2 linked regions of the Caenorhabditis elegans genome follow. The protein of the gene in region 1 interacts with the protein of each later gene in a pairwise test. Each region holds a gene or a part of one and is shown on either strand. Other genes may lie near its edges. The genes, in order: rpa-2 and C18A11.1.

Region 1 (3,801 bases):
GATGACTGATCATATATTTCTTCAGGATACCGTCTCTCTCCACAATTCTACAACATCCTTATGCACAAATTCGACAGATCCCACAGTAATCGAATCAATTTCGACGATTTTATCCAACTTTGCGTCGTTCTTCAGACCCTCACTGCTGCCTTCAGGTTAGAAATCAGGGCTAAAATTGATTTAGAAATTTAGAGAAAAGCTCTTTTAAAAAATTCAAAATTTTTCAACAAAATTAAATATTACTTTAAAAATATTTTTAGATGGAACTAACTATTTTCTATGTTTCTATAGTAATTTTTGACCAAAAAATTTGGAGTATCATACTTTACAATCTGATTACTTAATTTTCAGAGACGTCGACACGGACCGCGATGGAGTCATCACCGTCGGCTACGAGCAGTTCCTGACAATGGTCTTTTCATTGAAAATGTGATTTTAAGAGTATTTAGAGAACCAACCACAATCCATTTTCGACCTAACACCTAGCACTTCTACTAGCTTCCATTCGAAAAAAAGTTAAATTCAATTTCGTTTTGTTTTCAGGTAGCTCGAAGTGTGTTCAATCGTCTGGGTTAATAATGTGATTTGCCGTTCCTCATGCTCTCTTTCCTCCTCGGATTCTTCGCATCATTAGCGTCTAATTAATTATGTTCAAATTTACTAATAAACGCTTTTAAAGTATGAATCATTCATAGTTTCGAGTATCAAAAGTGAATTTCCCAGTGGGATGAAAGAAGGATAATGAAAATAATGTTACAATCAGCAGTTAAATAGCGGAAACAGTTTCCTCGTCGACAGTGGTGTAGACCAATCCGTTCTCGACCATCTCACCGACGCACTTACGAACAATAGAAATGTTCGTTTCTTGAATTTGCTCAGCTATCCACGAAACATGTCGACCTTCGTCACGAGAACCCTCTGGCACAGCCATCAAGACGGCGGTAATGCGCTCTCTGAGCACATCTCCTTGGTTCGCTCCCGTCATCACTTTTTGCGGTTGAGCATACAATCTCTCCTTGGTGTCCGATCCTTGCGAGCTTTGATGCGATGTTTGTGACATTCTGCTCTTCGGTGGTGCCAGCATTCCTTGGAAGCCATCCGAGTCGACCGACTTCAGTTTCTCGCTCACGTTCTTTTGGAAGAACAGACGTGCAGCTTCTGCCTCGAGCTCGAAGATCGTGAAATCCTTGTCGTCTTCAACTGGAGTGATGTTGAACAGCATAATGGCTGAAATTATTTGAATTAAGATATATAATTGAAGGAAATATAAACTTACTATTGTTTCCATCGAATCCCTTGAGCTTTCCGATGGCTCGAACACGAGTTCCCTCGACAATTGAAGAATGATCGAATGTCGAACCCTCATTGTCATACTTGAGCGTACGATATTCCATCTCCGTGTTGTTTGGATCACAGAGGTCGTACGTGTACGTTGTCCCATCCTGACTGATATCCTTCACAATACCGACGGTCAACACCGTTGCGAATCGGAAAGTCCCGACGACATACTTGTCATCCTGCGCAGAAAAGTGCTCGATCAGATTGGAAATCGTGACCGGCACTGGGAGCCTCTCGCCGAGAGTTGTAGCCTTCGAGTCCTGTAAAAAATATTTATTTGAAAGTATGATTTATCTCTTATTCTTACAGGCTTTCTGTCGGTCATAAACGACGACTCTCCAGCGGCCCATCCGTTTCCTGCGTTCTCGTGCTCGACAGTCTCGTTCCACATGGTTAGTAGTTTCTGGAAAGATGAAAATAGATTAGAAATGCGAGAAAAATGAAGGAAAGAAAGGGAAGGTGAATAATTAGCGTTTATCAACAGATTCCAGAGAGACAAGATGTGTTACATATTTTAGAAACACTGAAACATAAATTTTAACTTTTTAACAGAAAAATTTAGTAAAAAACTGATATGATGTCGAAAATGGAGCTAAAATTATGCAATACTTAGTTTGAACGGCCAATTTCGCGCGTTTCTATAGAGCGCGCTTACTTCACTAGGTTTCAAAACAAAATATTCCGCGAACACAGGGAAAACCATTAAAAAGAAAAATAAATCATAAAGAATTATTTACTCAGGAATTCAGTGTACATGTATTTTTGGATAATGTGAAAAATCTGAAAGTGAAGGCCAGAAAATTTATATGAATCTAACACTAAAGCACTGGCAAGATGAAAATATAAGCGCAGGAAGTCTTAATATCACAAAAAGACAAGCAACGATAAAGTGAATGAACTAAATTTTATGAAAAAAGAAGAAAAATGAGAGTGACAGCTCACTTTTATAGTCCTTGCGTAGGAGAATCACGTGTATTCAGCTCGACCCACGGCCCGGCGGGGGGTACATGGACGAGGATTCTCTACCGTATTCCAATTTGGCTGACTGCGTGCTCAACGTTGAATACTCAGTGTAAACTTTCGTACACCGTTGCGTACTGCACAGCGCGCATTTTAATTGACGACATTTCGCGAAAATTAACAGAAGATTTTTTTCGGAATTATAGAGCTAAAATTGAAAAAACTATCAGATTTTCATCGAATTTGTGAAGAATCGTAAGTATGAAGATTTGTTCTTCACGATATTCAAGGAAAATCGATATTTGGTTTTTCACAGACAAATTCTATCGCATTTCACTCGACGAGACCCGAAGAACTCGGGGGATGTCCAACTGGGGGGATTCCCAACTCGGGGGATTGGCCACGCCCACAGAACCGTGCCTTACAATACGCCCATTTCTGCAACCTCCGCACGGTTTTGAATGATGATTTTCTTCATTGTTTTTTGGGGGAGAAAAATCAATTTCGACTCTAAAAACTTCAATTTGAATTGTTTTTCTTCGTTTTTTCAGCCATTTTCGCAAAAAAAAGTATTTTTCAACCGTGACTTGTTAATTCGCCCTCCTTAATTCGTGTATTCCTTTTGTTAATCTCTTTCCCTCTCATATTTTATTAATTTTTTTAATTTCTAGACTTCGTCGAATCGAGGGACCATCAAAATTGCACGGATGAAACAAGGATGTGCTTCTCCAGTCCACCTACGTGAGTATTATATTCTCAAATTGTAGAAAGTAGGAAAAAAAATTGATTTAAGAACAAAAATTGAAATAGTTTAACAAAAAATTAATGAAATATCTTCGGATCGAACATAGATGGACTTATACAGGCATTGAAATCGTTGAAACAGCTATAATTTGCTGTCACTGCTCTTTTGAAGTCGGAATTTCTGTATAGTGGCGGGCGATCAGTTCTTCTTCGCAATAACCATGTTCTTTTCGATTGTACGTCTCTGTGAACGTTAAAACTCCAAACCGTAGACTTCTCAATTGAATTGTGTAGAATTTTGTAATTGGTATGGTGGAAAAGACGCTAGAAATTTGATTTTTGTTCACTTTTCCGTATCCATTAAGAGAAAAGTGTACCTGTAGCATTCATTTAAGCCAAAGGCCTCTAAAAACTAAGCGAATCTGATAATAGACGAGATAAAATCTTTTTTCATTTATATATCAGCGATGTCATTATGAAAGTTCTAATTTAAATTTTTCAGATCCGCCCGAGCTGCTCATCCTCCAAATTCTTCCGTTTTCATGACAAATTATTGTTTTTTTTGTTGAAATTATGTAATTCATTAAATGTAATATTATCCTTATCTGTAAATAATTATCATGATCAATAAAATATCGCTCTTAATGTTCAATGAATAGCTTGCAAACCAATTTGTACAATTATTTCATTGAACAATTTCCGCCGGCTCTGAAAAACATTTCATGGCAATTTTTCAGGTTATCTTATTCGAATTTTTTA
Region 2 (3,613 bases), on another chromosome or scaffold:
TTTGCGAATATTGAGCAAGTTGATATGTTTTTTTCGGTAAAAATGCTTTAAAAACTTAAAATAATTTTTTAAAACATATGAATAGCTTGTGGGACATGATTTTTTATTTATGGTATTCTAATCAGATAATATGTATTTTGTGCGTAAAAAACAGAACAATGGATATTATTCGATGCACCATCCACCCACATGATATCATTTTCCTTCTTATTTCCACCCTATGTGCCACTTTGCACACCTACTTGAAAACTGGAGAACCCATTCTATTTCCCGAGAAATACTTGTTCTATTGGTCATTTTATTTTCCGGCTCACTACTTTCTTGCCGAGTTGTATAAGGTTAAAAACATCAAACCCCATTTGTAGAGCCGCATCGCCGTCATGTTCAACGTCAAACTTCTTCTCGCTTTTTTCTTGTGTGTTTTGGTAGTTGAAACTACCACAAAGGTGGTCAAGGTAAAACATAATTAGTGTTGAAATGAAAGCTAAATTCACAATTTTCAGTTTCACTCAGTTTCCTTCAATCAACCATCCTGGAGAACTTCCCAACGCTCCAGACAGGTTGGTAGATGATTTACTGTTAGTTTTCAGCTGCAGTTTTTACAGAGTCACAATTTTCAGATTCAAGGCTACGGTCCAGTGTCGGCGTTTGCTGAAAGCGGCTCCTCTCGACCACTTTTTTTCGGTTCATGGCGCAAACGCTTCGATGAGGAATAAATTTTATTCATTCGTTTCTCAAGATCTTACGTTTTCCCGTTCGTTTGTCAGTGAAAATAAAAAGTTGTTATGTGTTTTTTGTTTTTTTAAACAAGACTGAACATATTGAATTAATTTATATATAGTTGAAAAGGAAATTACATTTTTGCACACTGCAACTTCCGAACTCGCTGGTCTGCAACGGTGGCTCTTTATTCGAATAGAATAATTCAGAAGGTCATTAAAAATGTCGAGAAACGTGATCTGGTCCAAGTCACTTTTAAAGTTGGTAAAAACACTAATTGGAGGAACTAAACTAAAGAGAAAACTAGGATGTGGTATTTGAAGGAGATCATTTTCCTTTGAAAAAGAGGTCATGCATAACATTTTCATAATAATCAGGTCATACCACCCAATACGTTAAGCCAAAGAACAAATATATGTAGACAAGACTTTTCTAAATTCTGGTGCTTTGAAGAAAAAACTTTCAGGCTGAGAACATTGAAAATGCAACGAAGTTTTTTGTTGATTGTTTGTTTTGTGTTGAACGATTACCCTTGTTAAACCATAGCTAAATTTTTCAACTAGGGACTAGAGTACTTGATTACCCATAGACTGATCGCGTCTGCTCCGCGCGCATTCCAAATTTGTAAAATGTCTTTAAAAAATTCTGTGCGCGCGGATAGAACGCGATCAGAGCGCAAACTTGGCGCGGAAGAAGCTAGAAAACACGTGTCATTGGAGCGTGAACCAGTAATCTAGTCGCGCTTCAGGAGGAGCAATTTGCCGAGTAGTCACGTTGGTCGATTAAATAATAAAAAACTGAACGTTATATATATATTAATATATAAAATTTTTTTCAGGCATTTTTCTGATCTCGCTTCTTTTCAGCTTTGAATTGAGGTTTGTTTGCGGGTTTTGCTTTGTTAAGAATACATTATTAGAAAACGTCAAAAGTTTGGAAAAAAATCCGTCCAAATAGAAAATATATTTTTTTCGGATAATTTTTTAGTTTTTTGAATATTTCTTGAGATTCAAATTTCAAACTCAAATGATTTATATGTGTAAAAATAGTTTACACTTGGGTACATCATTTCTGTAGGAAAAATCTAGAATTTTCGACAAAATTTTTTTTGCATTTTTTTTGACGACCAATCAAAAAAAAACTTTTTTGGACGGATTTTTTTCCAAATTTTTGTCGTTTTCTAATAATTTATTTTAAACAAAGCAAAACCCGCACACAAACCGCAATATATTATCAAAACCTGCCAAAATGATTATTCGTGTATTTTAAGAAAATTTTTTGATAAGAGAAAAAGAAAGACACTATAGTTGGTTATTAGAGCGCTATGAGGCAAACCACTTTTCCATATGTCCGCATATCACTTTATCTTAGTCAAACTCCACACTTCTTTTGTCCCCGCGGAGCAAAACTCACTGCTTTTGTTATCGAATTTTTTTTCTCAACCCGGGAAATTTCGCAATACTTTCTGACCGAAAGGTAAACATATTGGTTGCCCATCATCACGAGTAAGAACAAAATATACGGAACCATCGTTATCGAGAACAAAATAGACTGGTTGTCTACATAAAATACGTTTTAGTCTCGTCATTCGTTTCAATTTCATCGGTTGTGTTCATACGTATTGGCAAAATGACAAAAGCCCCGATCGATTTTGAGGAAGAGTGGTGCAAGGTGAGTAGACAAACTTTTTTTTATCGATCTAATAAAATATTATCAAAAAAAAACAGACGACAAATTGTGAAATTAAAAATATCAATTGATTTTCATATTTCAATATTAAAAAAAAAAAAAGTTTTCATAATTTCCAGATTTCAAATGGAACTTTGGAAATAAAATGGTATTATTTTCCAACAACTCAAAGCTTGAAAATTGACATCGAAAAAATCCAACAAGTGAAAATTCAAAGTCAAGCTAAAAGTTATGTCAAAAACTGGGGATCCGGAGATTTGTGTGCATGGTGGGCATGTGATATGAAACGGTAAACTCAATCAATGCTACTGTTTTTTCACAGTCAAATTTTCAGCAACTTTCGCAGTCACCCAGAAGAGTTTTTCAATGTAAAAATTGACATCGGCGAAACGTTCAAAAAAGGATTCACTGTACATGAACTGGACAATTTCTTGCCTGCAATTCGAAAGTGGCTGAAAGTCCAAAATATTGTTTTTGAGTGAATTTTTTTGTGTTAATGTAAAAAATGTATGAGTTGTGTAATAAAATGTTTTGTCATCCAATATTCCAAAGTTAAATAAAAATTGTTTCAAATCCGACCAAAATGAAATTGAAACTGTCCTACCCAAATTTTTCCTTTTCACAAAAAGGTAAATCGAAAAAAGATATTTATGCATTGTCGTCTTCGTCAATTTTCAAACTTATCAATTTTCGACAGTTTCATTAACCGTCAATTTTCGTTTTATGTAAATGAAACCAATAGAATATAATTACCGATTTAATTGTATGCTTTGTATAAATGTTTAATCAGCTTACCAATTGCCTCAAAACAGTTTTTCCTTTCATTCTTTGTCCTATCTCCGTCGGTGAAAATGTTAAACTATGCGTTTCTAATTCTTTCAATAATGTCTTATTAAAACACTATTTCAAAAAACTGGGAATACGTACGAATCAACCACTTTCCAACCAACTTTATCTGCTCTCTAACCAACTTTATCCATTTTTCAACCAACTTTTGCCAACTTTTACCAATTTTCGCCAACTGTCACGAACTTTGTCCAGATGTTTAGAGCACTGTAGAAGTTTTGCCACTTCTGTGAATGTCACTTAGAAATAGGCAAAAGTTGATAGAGATTTGTTTGATACTTAACCAAGCCATATAAAAAATGAGAATGAGAATGAAACGAGAACGTGGAAATACAAATTAATCTATTATCAAAAAAAA

Evidence for each region.
Region 2: the proteins of rpa-2 (region 1) and C18A11.1 interact in a two-hybrid assay, tested with the Caenorhabditis elegans proteins (one large-scale study listed by BioGRID).

Annotation. Positions count from the first base shown.
Region 1 is NC_003279.8:4,768,232-4,772,032, reverse strand, and holds rpa-2 (Replication protein A C-terminal domain-containing protein), read right to left. Parts: upstream 1,742-3,801; 5' UTR 1,730-1,741; coding exon 1,646-1,729; intron 1,599-1,645; coding exon 1,277-1,598; intron 1,228-1,276; coding exon 767-1,227; 3' UTR 675-766; downstream 1-674. Other genes in the region: M04F3.4 (EF-hand domain-containing protein), read left to right, coding at 26-155, 352-429, 544-547.
Region 2 is NC_003284.9:8,067,308-8,070,920, forward strand, and holds C18A11.1 (Activator of Hsp90 ATPase homolog 1-like protein), read left to right. Parts: upstream 1-2,020; 5' UTR 2,021-2,349; coding exon 2,350-2,391; intron 2,392-2,528; coding exon 2,529-2,698; intron 2,699-2,743; coding exon 2,744-2,891; 3' UTR 2,892-2,982; downstream 2,983-3,613. Other genes in the region: nssp-82 (Neuropeptide-Like Protein), read left to right, coding at 381-455, 504-560, 621-716.